4 linked regions of the Elephas maximus indicus genome follow. The protein of the gene in region 1 purifies or fractionates together with the protein of each later gene. This does not show direct contact. Links are inferred from orthologs where the notes say so. Each region holds a gene or a part of one and is shown on either strand. Other genes may lie near its edges. The genes, in order: IRAK1, STIP1, TOLLIP and PELI3.

Region 1 (7,934 bases):
ATAACATGGAGGAACCTGGAAGGCATTATGCTGAGCGAAATGAGTCAGAGGCAAAAGGACAAATACTGTATAAGACCACTATTATAAGATCTTGAGAAATAGTAAACCTGAGAAGAACACATACTTTTGTGGTTACGGGGGGGGAGGGAGGGAGGGTGGGAGAGGGTTTTTTTTATTGATTAATCAGTAGATAAGAACTGCTTTAGGTGAAGGGAAAGACAACACTCAATACATGGAAGGTCAGCTCAATTGGACTGGACCAAAAGCAAAGAAGTTTCCGGGATAAAATGAATGCTTCAAAGCTCAGCGGAGCAAGCGCGGGGGTCTGGGGAACATGGTTTGCGGGGACTTCTAAGTCAATTGGCAAAATAATTCTATTATGAAATCATTCTGCATCCCACTTTGAAATGTGGCGTCTGGGGTCTTAAATGCTAACAAGCAGCCATCTAAGATGCAGCAATTGGTCTCAACCCACCTGGAGCAAAGGAAAATGAAGAACACCAAGGTCACGCGACAACTAGGAGCCCAAGAGACAGAAAGGGCCACATGAACAAGAGACCTACATCATCCTGAGACCAGAAGAACTAGTTGGTGCCCGGCCACAATCGATGACTGCCCTGACAGGGAGCTCAGCAGAGGACCCCTGAGGGAGCAGGAGAGCAGTGGGATGCAGACCCCAAATTCTCATAAGAAGACCAAACTTAATGGTCTGACTGAGACTGGAGGAATCCCAGCGGCCATGCTCTCCAGACCTTCTGTTGACACAGGACAGGAACCATCCCTGAAGACAACTCATCAGACATGAAAGGGACTGGTCAGCGGGTGGGAGAGAGACGCTGATGAAGAGTGAGCTAATTATATCAGGTGTACACTTGAGATTGTGTTGGCAACTCTTGTCTGGAGGGGGGATGGGAGGATAGAGAGAGAGGGAAGCCGGCAAAATTGTCAAGAAAGGAGAGACTGAAAGGGCTGACTCAAGACGGGGAGAGTAAGTGGGAGTAGGGAGTGAGATGTATGTAAACTTATATGTGACAGACTGATTGGATTTGTAAACGTTCACTTGAAGCTTAATAAAAGTTATTATAAAAAAAAAAAAAAAAAAGAGACCCATAGAAAATGGCCACCCAACCTCGGGAGGAGCCCTAAGCTAGGGGCTGCAGGGAGAGCCGGGAGCCCGGGCCCTGCCCACTGGTGAGACTCGTTCACAAATACTGAGCCCAAGGCTGTATGCCCAGTTCTCCCCAGGACCCCGTGTGCCACAGGCCCAGGGACCTGTGCCAGGTCAGGTGGGGCTACCTGGAAGTGGAGGCGGTCTTCCAGGGAACCATTGGGCAGGAAGCCGTAGACTAGGCAGTAGAAGCCGCTCTGAGCACAGTAGCCGGCAAAGTCCACAATGTTTGGGTGACGAAACCTGCTTGACAAAGGGAGGGCTACGTGTCTCGCCTCAGGCTTCACCACACTTTCCCCCTGGCCATGGCGGGGGCCCAGAGAGCCAGGCACAGCCCTGGAAGCATTTTGGTAGGGGGAAGCTCACCGGGACAGCTGCTCCACCTCAGTCAGGAAGCTCTGCTTCACAGCGTTCCACTCCAGATCGGCGTCCTGCAGCCCCGGTGAGGAGGGGAGGGGAGGGGAGAGGCTCTGCTCACCATGGCCACCCCACCACTCCCACTGCCACCTTTCCCGGACTTTCTGCAACCCAGCAGCCTGGGACCCTGAACTGGCGCCTTCGCCGGAGGACACACCCACCTCCTTCAGCCTCTTCACAGCATACACCGTGTTCCTCATCACCGCCCGGTACACGCAGCCAAAACCACCCTCACCGATCTTGAGCTCCTCGGAGAAGTTGCGGGTGCCCTGGGCAATCTCAGGGAGGGGCCAGCAGAACGGGGCAGGGTGGGCCCCCTGCAGGAAAGCCAGTGGGCTCTCTGGGCTCTGCTGTGGGACAAGACCCCAGCAGGTGGGCTCCTGTGTCTGGGTCTCCTCCCCTCTGCCCTGGGCAGCCAGGTCCCCAAATCCACCCCAGCTGCCTCCCAGCTGGCTGCTGGCTCCGCTTTCTTCCTCTGTGCCTGGAATCTTGCCTGAGGCAAGGGGCACCCACCTCGGTGGAGCAAGGGGCTGGAGTTGGCAGTGCTGGTCGGGGGACGGCAGGGTGTGCGGTGGGGCCGAGGTGGGGCCCAGGATGGGTCTGGGAACCTGTTAAAGTGAGAGACCACGGTCAAGGTGCCTCTTCCCCAAACCCATCTTGTCCAGCAGCCCCGGCTCTTACCTGGGGAGAGGAGGGTGGAGGCTGAGGACTGCGACTTCCTGGGGCTCCTGGCCTTGGCCTCAGAGGGGACAGAGATGCTGCTGGGCCCCAGGGGCGGGGTGGTGGCGGTGGGGGGCGGGAGAGGGGCAGGAGGATGCCCTGTGCACGGCGGAGGAAAGGGAGAGGGTGAGTGGCGCCTCGGCCCTCGGCCCCCGGCCCCCGGCCCCCGGCCCCCGGCCCCCGACCCCCGGCCCCCGGCCCCCGGCGGCCAGCGGGCACTCACAGGCCGTGATGATGTCCCGAGCGCGGAGGAGCTGCAGGTGCGTGAGGATGCGCACGAGGTCGGCCACGCGGGCGTTGCGATTGATCCAGGGCCACAGGACGCTGGCCGTGCGCTGTCCCGAGCGCTCGCAGAGCCGAAGCTCGGTCTGGTCGCGTACGATCAGGGCCGCTGCGGGGCAGGGGGCGTCAGGCGGGCAGCGGCGACCCGGGGACCCCCCGCCCCCCGCCCCGGCCCGCGTCCGCCGCCACCCACCGAACTGGCACCAGTCGGCAGGCTCCAGGGCGTCCATCACCTTGTAGAAGCGGCACATGACCCAGGGCGGCACCTCGTACAAGAAGTGCTGGGCGCCGGGGGCCGCGGGGTCCCCCGGGCCCGGGCCCCCGGCCATGGCCCGCCTAGCGCCGCCGCCGCCGGGCCGGGGCCTCTGGGGCCTCGGCGGGCGCGGGCCTCGGCCGGCCGGGTCGACGGACACTGACTCACTTCCCCTTTAAGTCGCCTCGTGCGACGCCCGGCGGGACGGAAGGGGCGGTGCCCGGGCCCCGCCGCCATCTCGGCCGCCGCCGCGCAAGCCTTGGCCACAAGGGGGCGCCCGCGCCCGGCCGCAGCCCCTGCTCCCGCGAGCCCGGGAAGTCGGACCTGCACCTCGCCCAACCGGGCGGGCCTCCAAGAGGAGCGGCCTGCTAAGTGGGGCGCTGAGGGACGAGGACGAGCGCTTCGGGCACCAGAAGCACAGGGCACGGCGAAGGCACAGTATGTTTCAGAATGGGAGAGTGCTTCCAGGTGGCTACAGCCGGACCATGAGAGAGCCATTTGGAGGTCCCGTTAAGATGTTTGGTCTTTAAGTGGTAGGCAGTGGCTAGTCATCAGAGTTCTGGGCAGGACAGGGTCAGTTAGGTGTTCCACAAAGGCCCCCCTTGGCTGACTCCAGTCAGGGAGGGCGCCCTGGCTCCATCTTCTCTCCTTCAAACCTGCTCCACCAAGTGTTAGCTCCTCTACTTTCCTTCTCTACTGGCTCCCTCCAATGAGCACATACACCTAAGTCTCTTCTGACCGAAAAACCGATCTTGGTGCCTCCCCGCATCACCTTCACCTCCTGCTGTCTCTCCTCCGTTTTGCTGTCACACTTCTCAGGCAGTTCTCACTTCCCCTGGGGCAGGACAGCAGGGTCTGGCTTCCCCCAGTCACCACCTCGAACTCTGCTCAGCTAGTTTGACTTCTTTAGCCACGTTTGTGTCTCTTGCCCACTCTCAAAATGTTCTCCACCCTGATTTCCTTGGATTCTTGGGCCACCCCTCCACTCCTCTACCCCACACCTCAGCAGCCACTATCTTCCCATCGTCCCCTGATCATCTCTGGGGCTCAGCCCTTCCCCACTGGCCCCCGCCTGCTTTATTACCTTCCCTGCTTACACTCTTCCCGGGGTCCTGGAGCCCTCTGATGGGGTCCCAGTTCCTTTTTGCAGCACACATGGCTGTCACGATGTGGCCCCTGCCCATCCTCTCATTTCTAACTCTCTCCACAGAGCAGCAGCCTTAAGCAATTCAGAACTCTGCAGGGTTCCAAAAATGTACATGCAGGGTTTTCTGTGTCCTGGAGTTTGCACATGCCACTGGATTGGCCTGGAACATTCTCCTTGTCCAACAGCTGTGGCGAACCTTTTCCGGTCCCTCGGCAGACAGAGCTGACTGCAGTCCACCCGGCACCTTTTACTTCTTGTGCATCCTGCTCACCACAGGGCCACCACCCCACTAGACGGGGAGTCCCCAGGAGCAGGACTGTTCCTTCTTCAGTTGGCTTCTCCAGCTGCCAATAAGTCTTCTCCGCCAGCTTCCTGGCCCCTCTCAATCCTGACCCCAAAGGAGCATCCCCAGCTTGTGTTCCCAGGGACTTAGGGCTGCTTCCAGAAGCCAGATCCTCCCACAGGGCCTGAAATCTATCCCCACTGAGCTTCTTCCACAGGACTTCTCAGGAGACAGCCCTTCCTGAGACACACCCTACCATCTGAGATGACCACACACATGCTAAGCTTCAGGGGAGCAGGGCCTGGGGCCTCCTTGCTCATGCAGGCTGTCAGCTCCTAGAACAGTCCAGATGCCTACGAGTGGGATCTTGTCCCCCTCCCTTTCAGTTTCCATTCAGGGCCAGGACTTGAGTGTACCTTCCAGTACGTGTGCGTCCAGCATCTGCAGCGTCCTCAGTCTGGAGCCAGGGCAAACAGCTACCGAGAGCCCATACCCTGACTGGGAACCAGAGAGGATGGGGGGACAGGCCTATAAACCCCTTCCGCTCCTGGGGAACCAGGCTCTTGTGGCCCACAGGGCCCCCTTAGGGCAATCTGTCAGCATGCCCTTGCTGGGTCAAGCGGCCTGGTCATCAGGCAGCCAAGGCCAATGCAGAGGTCACAACTGACGTTCGAGACAGGAAGAGCCAGAGCTGGGAGAAGGGGTCCAAAAGCACCCAGATGCTCCCCGCCCCTGGCAGGGACACGCAGACCCTCCCGCCCCCAGTCCCTGTGCTGTGATTAGAAGGACTGGAAGAGATGGAGGCAGGGCAGACCTGGCCGGCCCTTCTGGGGTTCCCCATTGTCCTCAGGACTTGGAGCACCCCAAAGAGGTGGCCTCCGCAGACGAAGAGCGCATCCCTTCTTTCTGCTCTGCCAGGCCTCAACCCCGTCCATCTGTGGCAAGGGCAAGCCAGAGACGGTCAGGAAACCCGTGTGACCTGGGAGGGGGACTTCTGACAATGAAAGCCCAGACCTTGAGTCACTTTCACAGAGAGATTTATCGAGAATGCTAACAGCACAGGATACAGTACTTCCCAACAAAAGGTGCAAACGCGTCACTTAGAAAGGCATGCTGAGTATTCTTTGCTTCACATGTATTAAAAACCTTACAAAAATAAAATAAAACTGCGTGCTGCCCATCTTTTCGAATAGTAAAAGAACCTTATGAAAAATCACTGGGTTTTACAACAAAAGACACAAACGGACATTTTTATGTAAATTTATAAGGCAAACTCTTTATATAATAAATAGGTTACAGGGATTCCGTGGGGGTGTTTTTCAACGTATACAGGTACATTCAGACAGGTTTACTGAAATGGTACAAATTTCCTTAATAAATTGCCTTTTGTTTTTAAATATATCAGTGCTTTCAGTCATTTGGCTATACACAAAGAACCCTTTTTTTTTTTTAACACTACAAAAAAGCAATCAATATTTTTTTTGTTTTTAAAACGACCTACTTATTTTCTAAAGTAATTGTCCCGAAACACAAAACCCGAAGGTTAATGCCATCAAGGCTGAGTCTGCCCCAGGCTCTCCCTACCCTCCACACTTCCCCCATCCTCGGACAGGCTTCCGGGCTGGGTGGCCCGTGTCACTGGCCTCCAGGCTGGGACAGGGAGTGTAACTGCGCCTCCGGAGGGCAGCCCTCCCCCACCTGGTTTTTGTAGCTACTGCCCCTCCCTCCCCGTGCAAGTGGCCACCACGACCGGCACTGTCCCTGGCCTTTCCAAGGAGGGCTGCCGGACACGGAGCAGAGATGTGTCCCATGAACCCCAAACAATGTCTAATGCTGGGTGACAGCTTCTCTGAGGGAAGGGAAGGGGGTTTCTCAATGCCACATTTTGCCAGGGATCAGAGAGCCCCCTCCCAAGTCAACTTACTGCCCTGGGACATCACATTGGTGTTGTGCATATGAATGGGGTGGGAGGGGATGCTGTGTCTTTAATGGTAACTTCCGCGGGACCCGCCTTGGAGAGGATCATCCAAACGCCAGGCCTGTTCAGGAGGAGCTGCTTCTGGCGGGGAGCACTCACCTCCCAGCGCCAGCTGGGCCAGACCCCTCCGAGGACCTCCCGGCCCCACCACTTAGGCCATCCACCCTCCCTCCCCACTTAAGCGAAGGCAGCTGCACACATCCAGTCCTCTCCTGGCTACCCTCGCAAATGCCACCTTGTCTTTCCTTAAAAATAACTCTGATGTGAGTAATCTTGGGGTGGGGGTGGGGTGAAGCCAAAAGAATCCACTGGGTGGTATGAAAGGGGTTTTGCTCTTAGAGGATGGCCACGTGTCAGCCAGAACCGGACTCTCTTTTGTCTTTTTGTCTTTTGGGGGGGTTGTGGCTGACCTGGGCAGGGGGCCATCTCTTCAGATTTCCCCGGAACGGGGGAAGAGGTAGCCCCTCTCATTTCAGTCACCGGCCTCCTCCCTCCAATTTTTGTTCATTTGTAAAGAAATGGTGTCTCTGGAACAATTACTTTAAACATGGTTACAATACAGACTTCAGTTCAAACACGTAAGAGATTTACTTAGCAAAGTTCCTTTCACCCACCAAAAACTACACAAATATAAGCCTCAACACCACAGTTAAGAGGACCAGTAGAGAGTGTCTCATGTTTGGAACACAAAAGGAAAAATCAAATCCAAACCAAACCCAAACAGAAACCCCCCAGAAAGACAAGGCAAGGGCAGGGCAGGAAGGAGAAAGGAGCGCAAACACAGCACGCGCTACAGTGTCCGGATACTCGGGCCGGCACGTAGTTAGTAACAGTCCTGGTCATATTTGGTCATATATTCATCAACTACTGACTCTGGAGCGGCTGTTATTGATTGAAGCAGGAATAAACTCAAACAGAAAAAGGCGGCCTTGGTAGCAAGGGAAGGAGCAGGCTTCAAGTTCTGTGACCCTTTCTGCACCCATCGTCCTCCACAGAAGCACTGAACAGGGGGCCTCACCGGCCGGCAGGGCTAGCAGCCCACGCGGGCTAACTCCGGCATTGCCTTCACTTCTGGTCAGAAATCACGTGCATTTACACATGGGGACACCCACCTGGGAGTGGCAGGACATCAGCGCCAGTGGTCTCCTGGCCGACTCTCCCCCACCCGGCCCACTGCTAATACTGAACACCAGCTTCAGGGTGAGTACCTCCCACCCAGCTTTCTCTCGAGGGTCCTGAGGGCAGCCCAGCCACCCAAAGGGCCAGAGACCCATTCCTCTTGTGAACGCGGGCCTCAGAAGCAGCAATGGCGCAGGGATGGAAGCTTTTGGCCCTGGTGATTATAATGCTCTCTGCTTTGGAAGAACAAGTTTCTAGTTTTTTTTTTTTTTTTGGTGTTTTTAATTAAAAAAGGATCAAAAAGAACCGTTACAGCTAAACTCTCTAGCAGATATTGCTCATTAAGAATTACAAAAGCAAATGCAATTTACTGGTAGGCTACGGGAGAAGAAAGGGGTGGTTCTGGAGTCTTCTCCAACTCCTGGTGGGGGCACACCGGACGCATGGGGTTCTGGAGTCCCTGGGGCCCTTCCTGGCCTTCCCATCTCCCCTCCGTCCCCTGACTCCCCATGCTGATCACCACGCCCAGCTCACTGGCAGGGGAGGGAGAAGTCGAGACTCTCTGTG
Region 2 (7,090 bases), on another chromosome or scaffold:
GCCCTTCCTCAGTGCAGATGCTTACCCATGGCCCACCTGCTGTTTCCTCCTATCAGAGAAGAACCTTTACCTTTCCCCAAGTACCCATGTGGCGATATGTCACCACGTGGTAGATTAAGGTTCTGTTCCTTAATGGAAAACTAAAAAAAAAAAAAAAAACCAAACAAAACCCATTCCCATCTAGTCAACTCTGACTCATACAGACCCTATAGGACAGAATAGAACTAACCCAAAGATTTCCAAAACTATAATGTTTAGAGAAGCAGACGGCCACATCTTTCTCCAGCAGAGAAGCTGGTGGGTTTGAACGGCTGACTTTTTGCTTAGCAGCCAAGTGCTTTACCATGGTGCCAACATGGTCCCTTAAAGGAAAGATAGGCCCCTAAAATCGTCCCTGTCTTACCACACTTTAAAATTAGTATGTTACCATGGAGGTGAGAGCTTAGTCTCCTGTCCTCTCAAACATGCAGACTTGGCTCAGCAGGAAACCAAGGGGCAAAATAAAGTGAAGGGGACCTCAGCCCCTCTCCCAAAAGGTCAGGTGCCCTGAAGCAGCCTACCTGAGGGAGGAGGAACATCTCAAAGGCTCCTTAAAATGTAAACATTCAGTGAGATCATAGAATGTATCTATCACCCACCTATGACCAAATAAATGTGGTTAAAAGAAACGATTCTGGAACCCCAAGGCACACCAATTGGGAACCTCCACCAACCAGAAATCTCAGAGAGGAAAGGGAGAAAGAAACTGCCAAATTTAGAGAGAGAATGAAAACCTTAAAGCCCAGGATGGAGGTCAGAGATCAAAAAGTTACAAAACTCAACTGGTATCAAAAGACAGCTGAAGAACAGCTTCAAGTCCTTGCTATCTTATATATATATACATATAAAAAAAAACACAACAAAAAACAAAAACCCAAACCCACTGCCAAAAAGCTGATTCCAACACACAGCAACCCTACAGGACAGGGCAGAACTGCCCCATTTGGTTTCCAAAAGACTATGTTTACAGAAGCAGGCTGCCACATCTTTCTCCCGAGGAGCAGCCAGTGGGGTCAAACTGTTGACCTGCCGTTAGCACCTGAGCACCTAACCAGTGTGTCACCAGGGACCCCCCTCTATCCTACAGAACTGCATTTTTCAAACTGAGTGGTGACCTGCAGTGGGTCAGAAAATAAACTTCGTAGGTCATGACCAGCATTTTAGGACTTGAAATAGAAACCACTAACACCTTAAGCACAAGATACATAAATACCAATCTCTTTAATGTGGCATATGGTTGTGTGTCTGTTTCAGATCAGACAGAGAAAGGATTTGGGAGACACAAAAAAATCCAATTTGGACATTCGAATCTGTCCAATTTTCCAGTATTAGGCGACATTCAAATTTGTCCAATTTGAACCTTGCCTAAAACCGAAATATGGATCTCAGAGTTGAAAACGGAAACAAAAAACAGAGACGTGTTTGTTTTGAGAAACAGGTTGAAGACAATAAGCTCTGACACACCTGGAATTAAAATGGCTAGTTATTATATAGATACATCTGCCATACAAATTTGCTGTTTGAGTTTACACATCCATTTTCAGCCTGCCAGTGCACACATTCCTATAATGGGCGGTGTGATCTCTTTCTACTATTTTCGTTACAGTGGGAACAGCCCCTTTCCTAAATTTAACACAGCAACGCGTTTATTTCAAGTCTTTCTTGCCTATACTACAGCCTACTTAATTCCAGACACACGGAGCAAAAAGTTTCTTAACCTCTCCATTCCCACCCTCGTTTTTCTCTTTAAATTAGCAAAGCAGCTCCAGGTTTGGCTAGAACAGTAATCCCTACATTAGAGCAAAAAGTTCACCTTGTACATCAGCCAAAAAAACGAGTCAGCCCAGTGTTCCTTTTTTTTCTTTTCTTTTCAATCCTTACGGCTGTTAAAGACAACTTCCAATCGAACAAACCCTAAGCCTTTCACGACCTACAGGCCACTGAGGACACACAACCAAGTCAGGGAAGGTAACCAGCAACAACAGCAGCTTCAAGCTTGGCCCCCCAAAATAAAAAGCAAAGATGAATTCTTTACTTCATCTATAGTCTCACTCTCCTATAGGAAGAAATTCCTCCTAGAGTAATGAGAAACCGACCTCTCTGAAGTGTCCGACCTCACTCACTCTAAAATCCCCTCCCCAAAAAATAATAATAAAATAAGGGAAGAGGGAAGAGGGGCCGGACACACAGCTGTGAAACACCGGTCATGCCGGGATTGATTCCACCGACACGGCCCGCCGCTCGTCCTGCCCTCAGCGCTACGCCACCCGATCTCAGACACAGAAAAGTAGTTTTTCACCCGACTGGGTCCCAGGCCACTAAGTCCCGCCGCTACATCCGCTGTTTTTCTGTCCCACCGCTCGGATTCTTCCAAGTTCATTGTGGCCAAGTCCGGGGTGGCATTCCCGCAAGCCATCTCCGATCGCCCGAATTGCGAATTTCCCCGACAAGGACTCTGATCACTCCGGCCACTCCTCTGGCCCCTCGCCGCCTCCGTACCCCCCCCAGGGTGCAGGCACCATGCCCCCCGCTCTCCCTGGAGCCACCCCCCGGGAGGCCTCGGGGCCCGGCCGCGGCCCCTCTTACCGCTGCGGGCCGGCCTTACGCGGAGCCGCTGCCTCCCCTGGCCCTCGTCGCCGGAGCGGGAGGCCACGCGCGGTCCCAGCTCTGCGCGGTCCGACGGCCCGGGCCTCGCTGCACTCTTCACCTCCCACCCGCCGGCCGCGGCCCTCATACCCTCGCCTCCCCGCCGATGCTCGCTCGCCCCGGCCTCCCAGTCGGGCACCCGCCTCGCTCTCCTCCTGCGGCCGCGGCCCGGCCCGCCCTGTCCCGGAGCCGCCCCGGTGCTCCAGCCTACCCCTCCCCCTTCACCTGCTCCATAGCCTGGTCCGGAACCCCGTTGAATCGAACTCGTCGGATCCGCGTTCCCAACCGCACGCGCCTCCTTCTGGAACCTACTAGAAGCTGCCGGGACCCCCCGCGCCCGCCCCGTCCTCTCCTGCTGACTGGTCGAGCTCCTCCTGGAGGCTCTCTGTGCTCCTCTACTATTGGTTTAAGTCCTAGCCTATCATCTTCTCTTCACTCTCATTGGGTAGCGGAGAGTAATCCCCTCAGCCCTGCCCCCCCGCTTCTCGGGATTGGGCTATCCCTAGCAAGCCCCGCCTACCTCATGTTCCATGATTGGTGGGAGTGGCGGGCTTCTGCTACAACGATTAGTCACTTGCTCCGTCAATCACGGCTTCGCTAGCCGCACCCATTGGTTCAGTTCTTTCTGGAAATTTCCACCTCTCCCATTGGGCTGACGGAGCTCTTGGCGCAATCGTCTCCAGAATAAAATTTCAACTGGGCGGAGACTTGCCAAACACCTTGCGCTGATAGGGTTAAATTGCTGTCCGTCAAAGAGCCGTGGCCTGGTTTCGCCCCGCCCGTGGTTTGTCGGAGGTTGCAGCCGCAGTCGCCCTCTGCTGCTGGTGCCGGGTTGGTTGCGGGTGTGTGGCAGCCGGCGCAGCCGGAGCTCAAGGCCCTTTCACGCCTGGCCCTGCTGCGAGTTCCGGCCGGTCGTTTTGCTCCTCCCGGCAGCAGAGGCCTCAGCCTTCCTCCCGTGCGTCGGCCGTGGGGGTCTCAGCCGGCGGCGTGACTGTCCGCGTTGGTCACGGGAGAAGGGGAGGCGCTCCCTTCCCTTGGGCGCCGGCCTTCCCGAGCTTTCGGCCTGTTAGGGATGCCGCGTGGCGGTGGCGAGCGCTGGGACTCGAGTTGGACCGGTCGGGGCACTCACGCTGGCGGGACAGCTGGCCAGCCGGTCTCCATGAGACTCTCGGGTCAAAGGTTTGCTAACCTAGGGGTTCAGGAGGCCGCGTGCACGAAGGCATTTTGCATCGGCTAGCACTTACTGAAAGGGAGCTGTCTTCGTTATTCTGACGTAAAGGGGGGAAGGAAGCAAAGACCTGAATGAGGTACTTGACCACCTAGTAGGGACTTCAATGCCAGCCCCAAATGCGAGGGGTAAGAAGGGCAGGCACCCTGAGAGAGGCGAGAGGGCTTAGGGGGCGCGATGGGCCTGCAGGACCCATACTAAATCGTTGGGATTAAAATGCTGTTTCCAGGGTCAATGAATGGAACAAAAGAGCCACATGTCTGGGGTCTGGATGGGGCTTGCTGAGGGTCGTGAACCTACTGTGTCCTCATTCTTCCCCTTCTTGGGTAACACAGTGTCTTCCTAGGGCTTCAAGTGCCTGGCCTATACTAATACTTTGACTCCACAGCCTCCTCTTCCTCCCCAGCCTGTGTCTGATCCATTCTCAACTCTGCAACCAAAGTGACGGCAGACTGGCATATCTGGTAACCCTTCTCCCTCGCTTAAAACTCTTGGAGTCTTTAGGATGGGGTTCAGGGCCCATCTAAGGTGGCAGTCCTCCTACTTTTCATCTTGGGAGTCTGGGTGGTGTAGAAAGTTGAGCACTTGGCTACTATCCAAAAGGTTTGTAGTTATAATCTACACTGCTGCCTTGGAAGAAAGCCCGGGTGATCTACATTCTAAAAGTTCAAAAAACAACACTAAAGGTCACAGCCATCGAAACCCCAGTGGAGCACAGTTCTGCTTTGAAACACATGGTCACCATCAGTCAGAATCAATTTGATGGCAATTTTTTTTTTTTTTTTTTGGTTTCTTTCTACTTTCAGCACTGAACTCCAGCCACACTGACATCTGTTCCTTGAACTAGGCCGACTCCTTCACTCTGGGCCTCCTGACAAGCTGTTGCCCCTGCTGTGCTCACTCTTCCACTGCCTCTGCCAGATTAATGTCCCATCTTTCAGGCTAAGATGAGCTGTCAGGGTTCCTTGATAACGTGTCCCCAACAAGCACACGATGTAAGCTCCACTCACTTGTGATTTGCTTTCATAACACTGTGGGCCATGCCCATGTCCAGTCACCAGTTAAACCAGTGGCTTTGGTATCAGCATCTCACTTTCCTCTAAGGGCTATGAGGACAGAGCCTATGTCTGTTTTCCTTTATTGTCCTGCTCCTGGTACCTCACACAGTGTCTGGCATGTAGTTAGCTGCCATTGAGTTGGCCCCTGACTTATTGCAACCCCGTATACAATGGACTGAACAAAACTGACCCTTCGCCGTCCCCATGATTGGTTGTGGATCGGACTGTTTTTATTGGCTGGTTTTCAAAAAATAGTTTGCTAGGCCTTTCTTCTGAGACCGTCCTAGTCTGATGGCTCTGCTGAAACCTGTTCAGCATCAGAGCAACACACAAGCCTCAGATGGGTCATGGGTGTGCATGAGGCACACTGCTAGGAATCAAATCTGAGTTTCCAGCATGAAAATCTAGAATCCTGCCACTGAACCACCACGTTGATCTGTCAAATATAACGTTAGGTGCCATCGGGTGGTTTCCGACTCATAGGAACTCCCTGTACAACAGAACGAAACACCGCCCACTCCTGTGCCATCCTCACAATCATCGTTGTGCTTGAGTCCATTGTTGCAGCCATGGTGTCAGTCTATCTTGTTAAGGGTCTTCCTCTTTTCTCTGACCCTCCACCAAGCATGATGTCCTTCTCCAGGGACCGATCCCTCTTGATAACATGTTCAAAGTATGTGAGACGGAGTCTCGCCATCATTACTTCTAAGGAGCATTCTGGTTGTACTTCTTCCCAGACAGATTTGTTCGTTCTTTTGGCAATCCGTGGTGTATTTGGTATTCTTTGGCAACACCATAATTCTTTTTCGATCTTATTCATCGTCCAGCTTTCGCATGCATATGAGGCGACTAAACACACCATGGCTTGGGCCAGGCGCACCTTAGTCTTCAACGTGACCTCTTTGGTTTTAACACTTTAAAGAGGTCTTTTGCGGCAGATTTACCCAATGCAATATGTTGTCTGATTTCTTGACTGCTGCTTCCACGGGCGTTGATTGTGATTCAAGTAAAATGAAATCCTTGACAGCTTCAGTCTTTTCTCCGGTTATCGTGATATTGCTTATTGTCTAGTTGTGAGGATTTTTGTTCTCTTTATGCTGAGGTGTGATCCATGCATACATCAAATGTAACAGAACACCTTATCATGTGGCAGGTATAATCCTGGGCACTGGAGAAAAAGCAGTAAACGAAACAGATAAAAATCATTGTTTTTCTAGTCGTTATTCTAGTGGGGGAGAATAAACTCAAGTGTATAGTATGTTTGCGTAAGTGCTATGGAGAAAGACAGAGCTGAGAAGGGGTTAAAGGAAGCCTGGGTAGGGGGGATGGTCTTGCATTTTCAATAGAGGGGACAGGGCAAACCTCAAGGAGAAGCTAGTATTGTAGATGTAAGGGAGTGAGATTTGTGGAGAATTGAGAAGAACCTTGCAAGCCAAGGGAACAGCAGGTGCAAAGGCCCTGAGGTGGGAGTCTCGAAGGACTGGGAGAACAGGGCAGAGAGGGAGCAGGACATGAGACCATTCACTTTGGTTCTGACTCCCAGAGAGATGGGAACATGTTGGCAGGTTTTGAGCAGAAGAGTGACATGCTCTAACTTAGTTTGTCACTATCCCTCTGGTGCTGTGTGGGGAACTGGTGAAGATGGCAAGGGCGAACGCAGAAGGCCCCCCTTAGAAGCTGTTGCGATAATCCAGGAGGGCCCTGAGGGCGGTGAGCCAGGGCGAGCAGAGAGAGGTGAGGAGAGTTGGATTCAGGTGCATTTTGAAGGAGGAGCCAACAGGATTTGGCACAGAGCACGGAGAAGTACTCAAGGGTAACTCCGACGCTTTTGGCCTTTTCTCTTATTCATCTACTCGATGAGGTCTATCAGCAAGACCTTTATTTCTTCTTGGCAGTGTCTCCAGACTGCCACACTCTTGTCAATTCCACTGCCACCCCCCAGACCAGCTCTTCCATCTCTGGTTGACTTTCAAGGCTGTCTGTCATCTCCCCCACGTCTTATCTCCAGCTTCTTTCCCATTCCTCCCTTGGTGGGTCCAGCCTCCTTTCTCACACATTTTTTAAAGTCCTACTGTGTGCAGCCAATGTTCCGGGTGCAGGGGCTGTAGCAGTGAACAAG
Region 3 (7,713 bases), on another chromosome or scaffold:
TTTGAATGATCTTCAGCAAAACTTTGCTTGTGTGTAATATTAATGATATTGTTCTATAATTTCCTCATTCGGTTGGATCACCTTTTTTGGGAATGGGCATAAATATGGATCTCTTCCAGTCAGTTGGTCAGGAAGCTGTCTTCCATATTTCTTGGCATAGACGAGTGAGCACCTCCAGCGCTGCATCTGTTTGTTGAGACATCTCAATTGATATTCCATCAGTTCCTGGAGCCTTGTTTTTCGCCAATGCCTTCAGAGCAGTTTGGACTTCTTCCTTCAGTACTATCGGTTCCCGATCATATGCTATCTCTTGAAATGGTTGAACATTGACTAATTCTTTTTGGTACAATGACTCTGTGTGTTCCTCCCATCTTCTTTTGATGCTTCCTGGGTCGTTTAATATTTTCCCCATAGAATCCTTCACTATTGCAACTTTAGGCTTGAATTTTTTCTTCAGTTCTTTCAGCCTGTGAATTCCAGGTGTGTTCTTCCCTTTTGGTTTTCCATTTCCAGCTCTTCGCACATGTCATTATAATACTTTACTTTGTCTTCTCGAGCTGCCCTTTGAAATCTTCAGTTCTTTTACTTCATCAATTCTTCCTTTTGCTGTTTTCCTTGCTGCCAGCATTTTTATAGTTGAGATTTTGTCAAATTTGCTGGTGTTTTAGCTATAATATTGTGGTAATTTTAGTATTTGTGAGCCTGTATCAATAACTTTTTTGACAATGAAGTACTAATTTAAAAAAAAAAGGAGTGATACATGGTCTTATGGATTGAATTGTGCTCACCCCAAATGTGTATCAATTTGGCTAGGCGGTGATTCCCAGTATTGTTCGATTGTCCACCATTTTGTCATCTGATGTGATTTTCCTGTGTGTTATAAATCCTACCTCTGTTATGTTACCCAGTGCCGTCGAGTCAGTTATGAGGTAGAATTAGTGGCAGTTATGTTAATGAGGCAGAACTCAGTCTACAAGATGAGGCTGTGTCTTAAACCAATCTCTTTAGAGATATAAAAGAGAGAAGGGAGCAGAGAGACATGGGGACCTCATACCACCAAGAAACAAGAGCCAGGAGAATAGCGTGTCCTCTCAACCCGGCGTCTCTGCACTGAGAAGCTCCTTGACTGGGGAAGATTCATGACAAGGACCTTCCCCCAGAGCCAACAGAGAGAGAAAGCCTTCCCCTGGCACCCTGATTTTGAACTTCTAACCTCCTAAACTGTGAGAATAAATTTCTCTTTGTTAAAGCCATCCACTTGTGGTATTTCTGTTATAGCTGCACCAGATAACAAAGACGTAGGGGAATTACAATTTACAAGTAACATTAGTATAAAAAACATTACCAAGGATTCTGTATGGTCTGGTCCATGTGGGGGGTGGGGTGATATCAACCCTAGTGACACCACTGCTCTATGTGGACCTTAAAGGAATTCCTTATGTCCAGTAGCTTCAGGATCGATACGGCTGAGGTGTTTGGCAGAGAATAAGGGGAACGTGAAATGAATGGTAGCAGAAGGAAGCTTTGGTTATCATCTTGGACCTCATTAACAGGTACAGCAATAGAGAATGTTGCAGCTATATTTTCTGTTTATAATTTTCAATAACAAAACACTCTTGATAACTAATGCTTCAATTTTTACTCCAAGTAGTAATGTGACTTAATTGACATCATCCACAAAAATGTGGTAAAGGATGAGACTGCATTTTTGCTGTGTTGGGAACACCAGATTTTTTCACCAGAAAAAAAAAAAAAAGTGGATGTCCAGGTGCAAAAGAGGTGGACTGTTTTTTTTCCAGTTGCCCCTCCAAATACATTCTCCTGCATGGTATATTGCAAAATTGTATCAATCTTCCCCTCCTATAGAGAGTGAGATGTGCTTTCCCACCCAAGGCCCCAGCTCTCCTCAGGTGGCTCATCACTCTCACTAGACTGATTGTACTAACAACTTCCTTACATCAGCTCTTCAGCCCAAGGGATGGTGCTGTCCACTAGCTGGTTCCTCTGTCTTTTTGTGGCTTGACAGAGCATTTCTTTTTATTGCTGAATTTGTTCCCCTGTTTTTTTATGGATGTATCACAGTTTGTTTATCCATTCACCTACTAAAGGACATCTTGGTTGCTTCCAATTTTTGGCAATTATGAATAAAGCCGCTACAACATTCATGTTCAGGTTTTAATATGGACATACGTTTTCATCTCACTTGGGTAAATACCTAGGAGTGTGATTACTGAATTGAATGGTAAGCCTATGTTTAGCTTTATAAGATACTACCAGACTGTCTTCCAAAGTGGCTGTACCATTTTACATTCCCACTAGCAATGAGATACCTTGTTGGTTGCTTTACCACTATCTGTACTTTTGTACGGAGCCCTGGTGGTGCAGTGGTTAAGAGTTTGGCTGCTAACCAAAAGGTCAGCAGTTCGAATCCACCAGCCGCTCCTTGAAAACCCTATGGGCAGTTCCACTCTGTCCTATAGGGTCCCTATGAGTTGGAATCGACTCAATAGCAATGAGTTTAGTACGTTTGTAAAAAATCTTCATTATTGTGTGCTGTCAATTGAAGCCTTTGAATTATGGCGTTGGCAAAGAATATTGACTATACCATGGAATGCCAGAAGAACGAACAAACCTGGAGTGGGAGAAGTACAACTAGAGTGCTCATTAGAAGCAAGGATGGTGAGACTTTGTCTCATATCCTTTGGACATGTTATCAGGAGGCACCACTCCCTGAGAAGGACATCATGCTTGGTAAAATAGAGGGTCAGTGCAAAAGTGGAAGACCTTCAACGAGATGGGCTGACACAGTTATTGCAACAATGGACTCAAACATAGCGATGACTGAGAGGATGCTGCAGGACCGGGCACTGTTTTCTGTAGTACATAGCGTTGTTATGAATCGGAATCAACTCGATGGCACCTACCAACAACAATCTTTATGGGAGCAGATCATCATGCCTTTTCTCCCATGGAGTGGCTGGTGGGTTAGAACCAAGGACCTTTCAGTTAGCAGCCAAGCACTTAAGCTTCGTGCCACCACGGCTCCAAAATAATCATTAAATGCCTCTAATTATCCTTTTAAGTGTGACATTTGATAGCCTAACCCAGTGTTAATGTGCTGCTGGGCAGCCATTTATACCAGGAGGGCATAGAAAGCATTTCTAGGAGGAAGTGACTGTGTCAATTCTGCTGTAGCTCAAGAAAGATGAGTACTGGCAATTGACCACTAACAACATGGAGATCACTGAACACCTTGACAAGGGTCAAGGGGCTGGGGGCAAAAGCCTGGCTGGAATGGGCTTCAGAGAGAATGTAGGAAGAGAAATTGGAGTCAGAGTATATATATATATATATTTTTTTTTTTTTTTTTCAGAGTATATTTTGAGCCATTTAGCTGTGAAGTGATGGAGAGAAATAGAAGAGCAGTCTCAGGCTCCTTCTCTTGGGAACACCTTCTATCTTGTCCATTTATTTAAGTGGCCCACCCACTTTCCAAAGCCGGCTGAAGTATGTCAGCCCCCATTCCTCTCTCCTTTAGCTTGGCTCCTACAGCTCTTTTTTTTGGGGGGGGGGGTTAAATATTAATACTCCTCCACCCAGACACAGCAGCCTCAAAGTAAATGGAGTGCTTGAGATGATGTCTTTCTGAATCGCCATCTGTTTTGTTCTCAGCCCACTAAGCACCACAGTTCTCCCTTCTCCAAGAAGGATCACACGCCTGCTGGTGGTGGTTCTAGCCACATGTGAGGACCCTCCGCTGCTGTCTTTCGCTTTGGGCTCCTGCCCAAGTGGGAGAATTTTCCCCGTAATGACTGGCACTTCTGACCACCTCCGGCTGGCTTGCTGTTCCTGCGACTCAGCGATTCCTCAATGGGAGCAGTCCCCTCTGGAGGCCTTTGGGCCCCTCAGCCCTGCAGTCCTGCTGACCCCCACCGCCCCTGCCGCCAGGTTCCCGGCTGACAGGACTCCCCGTGTGGGCCACCCCTCGTCACTCCATCGTGTTTCCTGTCCGCCCTCCAGGTCAGGGCCGGTTCGCCCTCAGGGCCGGGCCACCCTCAGGACCGGTTCACCCTCCGGGTCAGGGCCGGTTCGCCCTCCGGGTCAGGGCCGGTTCGCCCTCAGGGCCGGGCCACCCTCAGGAAGGGTTCACTCTCCGGGTCAGGGCCGGTTCGCCCTCAGGGCCGGGCCACCCTCAGGACCGGTTCACCCTCCGGGTCAGGGCCGGTTCGCCCTCAGGGCCGGGCCACCCTCAGGACCGATTCACCCTCCGGGTCAGGGCCGGTTCGCCCTCAGGGCCGGTCCACAGGGGTCGCCTCGAGGGGTACGCTGCCGCTCGGCGGCTCTTGGCGCCTGCAGGGCCACGCGGGACGACGGCAGGCCCCTCGGCTGTTCAGTCCTGTCAGCAGACGGGAGAGGCCCCGCCCGGGTAGGGTCAGGCGGAGCGGGTCCTTTGCCCGCCGCGGGAGAGCCTGTGAGACGCCACTGGCGCGGGTGGCGCGCCCAGGCTTGGGCATGCGCGCACGGCCGCGACGGGAGCCATTTCGCGGAGCCGGCCGGCCGGAGGAGACGGCGACTGCGCAGGCGCCCGCCGAGGCCCGGCCCACGCGGAGCTGGGAGCGCGGGTCGGACAGGCGGCCGGAAGGGGCGAGGCGGGCGCGGCGCCTGCGCAGTGGGGGCGCGGCCGGGCGCGTGCGCGGTGCGGCGGCGGCGGCGGGGGCGGGCCGCCGTCAGCTGACTGGGGCTGCGGTCTCGCGGTGACAACCGTCGGCTTCGCAGGCTCCGGCGGGGGCGGCAGGGTCGCCGGCGGGTCCGCTCTGGGGTCGGCGAGGCGCGGAGCCGCCCGCAGCGCCATGGCGACCACCGTCAGCACGCAGCGCGGCCCGGTGAGGTCTCCCGGCGGGGGCGGCGGGGCGCGGGCCCCTCTCCTCAGCGGCGACGGGCGCTCCTCAGGCGCCCCTTCCCCCGCGCAGAGCGGCGGCCTCCGGTTGGCGGCCCCCCCCAAGAGCTCCGTTTCCTCCGTTGCAGATGGGAGGGTGGGAACCGAGCGCCGCGAAGGGGCGCCCTGCTCCTGAGGGGGGGCGTCTTCCCCGCCGCGGTGTTGGTGACGTCGCTGGAGGGCTGGCGCCGACCGACCGACCGACCGACCGACCGGGACGCCCTGGGGGTGAATGGCCGGCGGCGGCCGCCTCCCGCCGGGTTAGGCCGGTCCTCTGAGGCCCGGGTTGTGACGGCCACGCTGGCGAGCGCTGACGAGACAGCGGAGCAGAACTGCCGTGGGGGTCGCGTTTGGTCCTTGTAGGTCGTGGTTGTGCCGCTTCACTCGGAAGGTCCAGGGCTGGGCGGGGGCCGAGGAGCTTCGCGGGAGCCGGGGTTGTCCGGGCGCCCACCCTTGAAGCTGGACATTGGTTAAAGAACCCTTTTCGTGTAGCGTTTTTTCCCAGTTGGGAAGGAAGACGCAGGCGTGTTAGAAGCCCGTCTTGGGGCACAGGGCCTTTTTAAAGTGGGAAAGTAAGCTGCCTGGCGGACATCGTACCGAACCGGGCGTGGGGCGGTTCCAGAGGCAGCAGGGGCATCTGTGGCTTGCTTCTGATTGTCAGTGTTGCCATCTCTTTGTCTTCAGCCAGGACAGGGAATTCCAGGGGGATGGCCGGTTGCAGTTTTCTCATTTTTCGTAACTGCCTGGTAGAGAAGCAAGGGAACCATGACTTTTAAATTAAGGCTCCCATCTTTGTGTCCTCGAGAGCTGTGTGTGTAATGGTTGAGCAGGGCTTCTGGGGCTGCTCGGCCAGTTCCTTGCCCTGTCACTTTCTTGCTTGTCTCATACACCTGGGACGTGTTCTCAGCCTCCCGGGGACTCATTTCCCTTGTCTGGAGCAGTAGGACCTACCTCACGTGGTGGGGTGAGGGCTGACTCATTGTACCTGTTTACACTCCCGGGAACTTATCTCCCTTGTTTGGAACCTTACTGACCTCAGTCCCAAGGCCCCTTGCCACCGTCACCAGCCCGTCTTCCACCCAGGTTCTCGGGCTGACAGCACTTCTGGTCAGTCCTTAGAGCTCCTCTCATGGGTGTGGAGCTGGCCCCCTTCCCGCTGGGCTGAGCTTAAACAGGCACAATGCCTAGCTCAGTGCCTGGCATAAATTGAGCTGTTCCTGTCGCCGAGGTGATTGGAAACAGTCATTAAGCTCTGTGACTACATGAAACTGAGATAAGCTACGTTCTGTAATGAGTAATTGGGGGCTTCAGAGAAGATTCAGGTATGTAGGACATGTGACATCAAGGTAGTGACGCTTTTGTCTGATGTCTTTCCACAGTGCTTCTGGGGCTAGTGTCTGTGTGTAACACGGTTGTGTAGATTGATGTCCGTACACTGGTGCACAGGCTGGTGTCTTTGTGTGGCACAGTCCTGTAGATTGATGTCTGTACGTTGGTGCACAGGCTGGTGTCTGTGTGTGACAGTCGTGTAGATTGATGTCTGTACGTTGGTGCACAGGCTGGCGTCTGTGTGTGACACAGTCGTGTAGATTGATGTCCGTGTGTTGGTGCACAGGCTGGCGTCTGTGTGTGACACAGTCCTGTAGATTGATGTCCGTGCGTTGGCTCACAGGCTGGTGTCTGTGTGTGACACAGTCATGTAGATTGATGTCTGTGTGTTGGTGCACAGGCTGGTGTCTGTGTGTGACACAGTCATGTAGATTGATGTCTGTACGTTGGTGCACAGGCTGGTGTCTGTGTGTGATGCAGTCATGTAGATTGATGTCCGTGTGCTGGTGCACAGGCTGGTGTCTGTGTGTGACGCAGTCATGTAGATTGATGTCCGTGTGCTGGCGCACAGGCTGGTGTCTGCGTGTGACACAGTCCTGTAGATTGATGTCCGTGAGTTGGCGCACAGGCTGGTGTCTGTGTGTGACACAGTCCTGTAGATTGATGTCCGTGCGTTGGCGCACAGCCTGGTGTCTGTGTGTGACGCAGTCATGTAGATTGATATCTGTGTGTTGGTGCACAGGCTGGTGTCTGTGTGTGACACAGTCCTGTAGATTGATGTCCGTGTGCTGGTGCACAGGCTGGTGTCTGTGTGTGACGCAGTCATGTAGACTGATGTCTGTGTGTTGGTGCACAGGCTGGTGTCTGTGTTTGACGCAGTCATGTAGACTGATGTCCGTGCGTTGGCGCACAGGCTGGTTTCTGTGTGTGACGCAGTCATGTAGATTGATGTCCGTGTGTTGGTGCACAGGCTGGTGTCTGTGTGTGATGCAGTCATGTAGATTGATGTCCATGTGTTGGTGCACAGGCTGGTGTCTGTGTGATGCAGTCATATAGATTGATGTTGGTACACAGGCTGGTGTCTGTGTGTGACACAGTCCTGTAGATTGATGTCCATGTGTTGGCGCACAGGCTGTTGTCTTTGTGTGACACAGTCATGTAGATTGATGTCTGTACGTTGGTGCACAGGCTGGTGTCTGTGTGACGCAGTCATGTAGATTGATGTCTGTACGTTGGCGCACAGGCTGGTGTCTGTGTGACGCAGTCATGTAGATTGATGTCTGTACGTTGGTGCACAGGCTGGTGTCTGTGTATGGCACAGTTCTGTAGATTGATGTCCGTGAGTTGGCGCACAGGCTGGTGTCTGCGTGTGACACAGTCCTGTAGATTGATGTCCGTGTGTTGGTGCACAGGCTGGTGTCTGTGTGTGACACAGTTGCGTGGGTTGA
Region 4 (7,156 bases), on another chromosome or scaffold:
CCAAAGGAGACATGGGTGGGGAGGAAGAAGAGGAGTCTGTGCTGAGGGAACAGCTAAGTGGGTGGTGCAGGGATCCTGTGCTGGGGGTCAGGCAAAGACTGGGCAGGGAGGAGGTCTGCCCAGCCACCAACTCACGTCACTTCCTCTCTCCTGGCCTCAGTTTTCTCACCTGTAGCATGGGGGTCAGCTGTGGCTTAGTGAAAGTGCTCTAGACCTGGAGTTAAGAAAGATCTGGGTCCAAATCCCAGCCCTGCCACTTACCAGCTGTGTGCCCTTGGGCCAGTCACTTCCCCTCTCTGAGCCTCGGTTTCCTCACCTCCTTCCTCACAGCATCTTTGTGAAGATTGAAATGAAATAATGTCCATGAAAGGGCTTGGCACAGGCCTGCCTCACAGAACCCTTGATACGTGCCAGGCACTGTGCTACGTACTTTACAGAAATCACCTCATTCCTTCCGACAACCCTCTGAGCCCTCTGAGATAGGAATTATTATCATCCCTACTGGTCAAATGGGAAAACCGAGGCACAGGGAAATTCAGCAGCTTGAAGAGGCAGGATTTGAACCAAGTGATTTTGCTCAAGAATGAGAGTTCTTCACCCCACACTATACACAGTAGGCACTTCATAAAAGGCAGCCAGTGTGATTTTTTTTCTCATCTGATCAGAAACTTGGGTGTGCAGTAATTATCTCAGTCATTTATGCAAAGTAGGAAGGTAAAATAACAATTATGAATTGAGGTGGGTTGGGTCGACTGGATCTCTTGATCTGGCAAGATGATGGGGGACCAAAAGCAGAAGGGAGCTATGTGGGAGACCTGGGGTCCTTTTTCTGGCTGCTCTGGGGGTGCCTGATGACCCGCCCTGCCTGACCCAGGGATGCTCACCCCAGTACGATGAGTTCACCATACTTGATGGGCTCCTCGCCTGGCTGCGCATCTTCACCCGGAGACGAGAGGACGCAAGAGCCCTTGCTCCCAGGGTGCCGGAGGTCTGAGGTTTGGGGGGACCCCACTTCAGGGTTTCCTTCCAGCACCATTCTGGGCAGGGTGGGAGAGGAGAAAAAGCTTTGCAGACTCCCACCCCAACACCAAAGACTTGTCACCGTGGAGTCGATTGCAACTGATAGCGACCCTATAGGACAGAGTAAACTTGCCCCATAGGGTTTCCAAGGTTGTAAATCTTTACGGAAGCAAACTGCCACATCTTTCTCCTGTGGAGCAGCTAGTGGGTTCAAACCGTTGACGCTTCGGTTAGCAGCCAAGCAGTTAACCACTGCGCCATAAGGGCTCCTTCTCCCCCACTCCCAGCCTCCCTGGATCTCAGCCCTGGCCTGCTGCAGGGCCATCTAGGCTAAGGCCAAGTGACCTTTCACCACCTCTGTTGCTATGGCAACCACTTTACCTCTACCTCTCCTAAACTGCCAGAGTTGCTGGGATACCAGGGAGGGGAGATGGTGGGCTGGAACCAACAGGGAGAGGTCGCACCATCAGAGGGTGAGGATACTTGGAAGGGCCAGAGGGATAGATCAACTTGGCCAGAAGCTGCCTTTGGCTAAGACACCAGTCTGGGATGTGCTTGGAAGAGGGGCACCCCAGTGTTGGGGGCCCTTACCCCTTATCTGAGACTCAGTACCTGGATTTAGCTCTCTCAGCCCTGGGCCCTCAGAGATCCCCTCTCTGTTAGGTTCTTGGAATTCATCTGTCCGTCTTCATCTTTCTGATTCTTTGTGGGGCCAGGCCTCTGTCCGTCTGTCTGTTTCTCAATGACTCTCTGTCCTCCCAGCCGCTGTCCTTCTCACCGTTTCTCTCCCCACGTTCCTCCCCACCTCTGCCTGTCTGCCCGCCTCCTCCTTCCCATCCATCTGCCTCAGTCTCCCCATCTTGGTTTCGTCCTGTGGGCAGGCCTCCGAATCCCTCCCGGGGGCGCCCCCTCCCTCCCGCAGGTGTCTGTCTGCGGCCCCCGGGCCGCCGGGGCTCCGGGGCCTGTGGGGCGGCGCTCCCCTCTCTGGCTCGGGCTGCAGCAGAGCCTCGCCCTCAGGAAGCCTGTTTGGAAACCGCCCGGTGCAGGAGGGGTCGTCCGGGCAGGCCCGCGCCCAGCGCCCCGGGCGCACAGGCGGGCCCATCGCCTACGCAGATACCCACCCGTGGGCCTGCCACACACCCGCGAGCCTAGACCCGCACCCTGACCGGCGGCAGTGCGGGACGGCTAGGGGCCCCCGACCCACGCACGCCCCTAGCCACGGCGCCCGCCGCTCTGGTCCGCAAACACGCCCCCCGCGCCAGCGCCTCACCTCGCCGCGCTCCGGCTCCGCTCGCGCAGTGCCCTCCCCGCCTCACCCCTGCTCGGCCGGGGCCGCTGCGGCGGGATGGGCCGGGCCCACCACGACTCCGCGCTGCCTCGTCACGGGGACACCCGGGGCCCGGGAGGGGGCCAGCGCCAGCCGCCACACTCCGCCCACTGCCGCGAGGCCCCGCCCAGTCTGCCCCGCCCCTGGGAGAGCCCCTCCCAGCCGGAGACTCCGCCCCTGCGGCTAAGCAGAACCGCGGTCGGTAGAGCCACGCCCCTCACGGAGACCACGCCCTCCCCAGGCACCGCCCCCCGAGTCCCTTGAAGCCCCGCCCACCGCCCTGTCTCGGGGACTCCCTCGCCCCTCCTGGCTGGCTCGGGTACCCTGCCATAGCTCCAAGACCCTTGTCCCAATTCAGGGACTCCCCGGACCCCGGCCCCATTTCCGGGGACTCCTCGGTTTTCCAGAGATCCCGGCGCCCCGTCCACACCGTAGCCAGGGCCACGGCGCTGGCTCGGAGACCCTTACGCCGCCTTAGTCCCGGGGACTCCCAGCCTCCCCCCAAGATCCCGCCTCCCGGCTCCGGGAAGCCGCGGAATTAGAGGAGGAAGGGGAGAAGGAAAATACCAGAGGAAGCCGAGGAGGGACTGTGCGGCGGAGCCGAGCCGCAGGCTGTCTTCCAGCCAGCTACGCCACCTTCACGCTGGGCCCTCTCCTCAACACACACACACACGCGCGCGCGCGCGCGCAAATGACCGTTTAATCCCTGTAGTCGTCTATTTTACAGATGAGAAAACAGATCTACGTAAGTGACACGTTCATGGTTACTTCGCTAGGAAGGGGCCCAGAAGGGATCTCAGCTTTGTGACTCTAGAGTCTCACCTCCTAACTTCTGTACCTTGTCGTTATAACTAGGGGTGGCTGGACAGGGCCTCAGAGATGGGGAGCAGGGGAAATCCAGCGATGCATCAGATCCGGTCCCTGCAGCTCAGGGTCTCTTGTCTGCTGGGGAAGTATAACCTCGGTCTGGGGGAAGTCCAGGCTGTGGACCCATTAATACTACTTTGGAGGGTGTGTATATATGCAGAAATCAGGGCAGGCTGCCCAGAGGAGGTGGCCTTTGACTTTGACCATGAATAATGAGTGGGAGTTTGTGGGTACATTTCTGAGAGGGAGCACTCATCCCCTCTCCTCAGCTTGTTGCATGTAAAGCTCATAGCCCGCCAGACTCTTCCTGGCCCACCACATGCACTCACCACCACTCACTGCCCCACCTAAAAATAGTCCAATATACCAACTGCTCCACCAACTGTTCTGGGACCTGAGCAGCCAGTTGCAACAAGAAAACAGTTGACAGCACATCCTTTAGGGTCAAAGGCATTCATTAATCAAAGAGAAACTCCCAGAGAGGCCACCACTGACTAGGTCAGGCTGCCGGGCTACAGATCCTGCACCACAGGACAGCTTCCATCCTTGAATGCCTACAGTATGCCCACCTCCTTGCTGGGTACACACAGCCACCATACGACATGGGGCCTTATGACAGGCTCCCTCCCCTTTGTCCCTCCAGCTTCCAACAACATAGTGCTTGCCATAGACAGGCCCTCAGTGAATGTGCGCTGAATGACTGTTAGAATCCCCAGTTCACAGGTAAGAAAACTGAGGCTCAGAGAGGAGGAAACACTTGCCCCAGGTCACACAGCCAGGCAGATATAGAGCTGAGGTTTGACCAGAGCCCCATTGCTATCGCCAGACAACAGGGGGAAAGTCGAAGAGTGCCAGGGCCAGCTTCAGGCGGCAGAGATTTCTCCTGGGGTGAAGCTCCGGGGTGTAGAGGAGAGGAAAATGGGGACACCACCACAAATGGACGAGTAAGCAACATGATGAATGGCGAAAAGATTGAAATTGTCAAGGATTTCCTTTTACTTGGTTCACAATCAACACCCATGGGAGCGGCAGTCAAGAAATCAGATGATATATCGTATTGGGCAAATCTGCTGCAAAAGACCTCTTTAAAGTGTTAAAAGCAAAGATGTCACTTTAAGGACTGAGGTGCCTGGATCCAAGCTCTGGTGTTTTCAATCACCTCATGTGCATGTGAAAGCTAGACAATGAATAAGGAAGACCAAAGAAGAATTGATGCCTTTGAATTATGTATTGCCTAAGAATATTGACTATACCATGGACTGCGGCAAAAACTGGAAACCCTGGTTAAACCATAATGGTTAACAGCTACGGCTGCTAACCAAAAGGTTGAGGCATTTCCTATCCACCAGGTGCTCCTTGGAAACTCTATGCGGTTCTACTCTGTCCTATAGGGTCGACTGTATGGCAGTGAGTTGTTTATGCTTTTTGCCATAAAAACTAACAAATCTGTCTTGGAAGAAGTACAGCCAGAATGCTCATTAGAAGCAAGGACAAAGAGACTTTTTTCTTACATACTTTGGACATGTTGTCAGGAGGGACCAGTCCCTGGAGAAGGACATCATGCTTGGTAAAGTAGAGTGTTAGCGAAAAAGAGGAAGACTTTCAAGGAGATGGATTGATACAGTGGCTGCAACAAAGGGCTCAAGTGTAACAATGATCGTGAGGATGGAACAGGACCAGGCAGTGTTTTGTTCTGTTGTACATGGGGTCGCTATGAGTTGGAATCGACCTGATGGCACCTAACAACAACCGTCAGGCACAGAACACAGGTTCCAGCCCTGGTTCCTGAAGCCAGTGTTCTGTCCCAAGAACTCCAGCTTCTTAATTTCTCCAGGCCTCAGTTTCATTATTTGTAAAATGACAGTTTGTCATACTGTGGCAGTTCGGTGTTGCTGTGATGCTGGAAGCTATGCCACTGGCATTCAAATACCAGCAGGGTCACCCATGGTGGACAGGTTTCAGCTGAGCTTCCAGACTAAGACAGACTAGGAAGAAGGACCTGGCGACCTACTTCTGAAAAGAATTAGCCAGTGAAAACCTTACGAGTAGTGGCAGAGCATTGTCTGATATAAAGCCGGAAGATGAACCCCTCAGATTGGAAGGCACTCAGGATACGACTAGGGAAGAGCTACCTCTTCAAAGTAGAGTTGACCTTAAGGACATGGATGGAGTCAAGCTTTCGGGACCTTCATTTGCTGATGTGGCATGAATCAAAATAAGAAGAAACAGCTGCAAACATCCACTAATAACAGGAACATAGTATGTACAAACTATGAATCTTGGGAAATTGGAAATTGTCAGAAATAAAACGGAACTCACAAACATTGATATTGTAGGCATTAGTGAACTGAAATGGACTGGTATTGGTCATTTTGAATTGGACAATCATATGGTCTACTATGCCAGGAATGACAACTTGAAGAGGAATGGTGTTGAATTCATCATCAAAAAGAACATTTCAAGATCTATCCTGAAGTACAATGCTGTCAATGATAGGATAATATCCATACGCCTACAAGGAAGACCAGTTCATACGGATATTATTCAAATTTACGCATCAACCACTAAGGCCAAAGATGAAGAAATTGAAGATTTATACAACTTCTACAGTCTGAAATTGATCGAACATACCATCAAGATGCATTGATAATTACTAGTGATTGGAATATGAAAGTTGGAAACGAAGAAGGATGGGAGTTGGAAAATATGGCCATGGTGATAGAAATACTAGAGATCACGTGATAGAATTTTGCAAGACCAACAACTTCTTCATTGCAAATACCTCTTTTCAACAACATAAACGGCGACTATACACGTGGACCTCACCTGACAGGGTACACAGGAACCAAATCAACTACATCTGCAGAAACAAATGATGGAAAAGCTCAATATTGTCATTCAGAACAAGGCGAGGGGCTAACTGCAGAACGGACCATCAATTGCTCATGTGCAAGTTCAAGTTGAAACTGAAGAAAACTAGAACAAGTCCGCGAGAGCCTAAGTATGACCGTAAGTATATACCACCTGAATTTAGACGTCATCTCAAGAATAGATTGGTCGCATTGAACACTGACGACTGAAGACCAGATGAGTTGTGGAATGACATCGAGACATCATACACGAAGAAAGCAAAAAGTCATTAAAAAGGAAAGAAAGAAAAAAACAAAATGAACCTCAGAAGAGACTCTGAAACTTGCTCTTGAACACTGAGTAGCTAAAAGGAAGAAATGATGAAGTAAAAGAGTAGAACAGAAGATTTCAAAGGTCAGCTCGAGAAGACAAAGTAAAGTATTATGACGACACGTGCAAAGAGCTGGAGATGGAAAACCAAAAGGGAAGAACACGCTCGGCGTTTCTCAAGCTGAAAGAACTGAGGAAAAAATTCAAGCCTCCAGTTGCAATACTGAAGAATTCTGTAGCGAAACTATTAAATGATGCAGGAAACATCAAAAGAAGATAGAAGGAATATACAGAGTCACTACACCAAAAAGAATTGGTCGATGTTCAACCATTTCAGAAGGTAGCATATGATCAAGAACCGATGGTACTGAAGGAAGAAGTCAAAGCTGCACTGAAAACATTGGTAAAAAACAAGGCTCCGGGAGTTAATGGAATATCAGTTGAGATGTTTCAACAAATGGATGCAGCACTGGAAGTGCTCATTCCTCTATGCCAAGAAATTTGGAAGACAGCTACCTGGCCATCCAACTGGAAGACATCCATGTGTATGCCTATTCCCAAGAAAGGTGATCCAACTGAATGTGGAAGTTATCAAACAATATCATTAATATCACACACAACTAAAATTTTTCAGAATATCATCCAAAATTTGCTGCAGCAGTACATCGACAGGGAACTGCCAGAAATTCAACCCAGATTCAGAAGAGGACGTGGAACAAGGGATATCGTTGCGGATGTCACATGGATCTTGGCTTAAAGCAG

What was found.
Region 2: the proteins of IRAK1 (region 1) and STIP1 purify together in Homo sapiens (affinity purification with mass spectrometry; 3 studies listed by BioGRID and IntAct, with this or other methods). This does not show direct contact. The link is inferred for Elephas maximus indicus from reciprocal best matches to the Homo sapiens genes IRAK1 and STIP1.
Region 3: the proteins of IRAK1 (region 1) and TOLLIP purify together in Homo sapiens (affinity purification with western blotting; 11 studies listed by BioGRID and IntAct, with this or other methods). This does not show direct contact. The link is inferred for Elephas maximus indicus from reciprocal best matches to the Homo sapiens genes IRAK1 and TOLLIP.
Region 4: the proteins of IRAK1 (region 1) and PELI3 purify together in Homo sapiens (affinity purification with western blotting; 7 studies listed by BioGRID and IntAct, with this or other methods). This does not show direct contact. The link is inferred for Elephas maximus indicus from reciprocal best matches to the Homo sapiens genes IRAK1 and PELI3.

The regions. Positions count from the first base shown.
Region 1 is NC_064846.1:2,291,209-2,299,142, reverse strand, and holds the start of IRAK1 (interleukin-1 receptor-associated kinase 1), read right to left. Parts: upstream 3,015-7,934; 5' UTR 2,917-3,014; coding exon 2,781-2,916; intron 2,697-2,780; coding exon 2,529-2,696; intron 2,405-2,528; coding exon 2,267-2,404; intron 2,194-2,266; coding exon 2,099-2,193; intron 1,936-2,098; coding exon 1,747-1,935; intron 1,600-1,746; coding exon 1,535-1,599; intron 1,412-1,534; coding exon 1,297-1,411; intron 1-1,296.
Region 2 is NC_064825.1:127,373,048-127,380,137, reverse strand, and holds the start of STIP1 (stress-induced-phosphoprotein 1), read right to left. Parts: upstream 3,018-7,090; 5' UTR 2,920-3,017; coding exon 2,911-2,919; intron 1-2,910. UniProt on the Homo sapiens protein: Acts as a co-chaperone for HSP90AA1. Mediates the association of the molecular chaperones HSPA8/HSC70 and HSP90.
Region 3 is NC_064825.1:136,634,829-136,642,541, forward strand, and holds the start of TOLLIP (toll-interacting protein), read left to right. Parts: upstream 1-4,712; 5' UTR 4,713-4,850; coding exon 4,851-4,883; intron 4,884-7,713. UniProt on the Homo sapiens protein: Component of the signaling pathway of IL-1 and Toll-like receptors. Inhibits cell activation by microbial products. Recruits IRAK1 to the IL-1 receptor complex. Inhibits IRAK1 phosphorylation and kinase activity.
Region 4 is NC_064825.1:129,581,467-129,588,622, reverse strand, and holds the start of PELI3 (E3 ubiquitin-protein ligase pellino homolog 3), read right to left. Parts: upstream 3,003-7,156; 5' UTR 2,915-3,002; intron 2,473-2,914; exon of another isoform or gene 2,291-2,472; intron 1,038-2,290; 5' UTR 1,037-1,037; coding exon 885-1,036; intron 334-884; coding exon 262-333; intron 1-261. UniProt on the Homo sapiens protein: E3 ubiquitin ligase catalyzing the covalent attachment of ubiquitin moieties onto substrate proteins. Involved in the TLR and IL-1 signaling pathways via interaction with the complex containing IRAK kinases and TRAF6.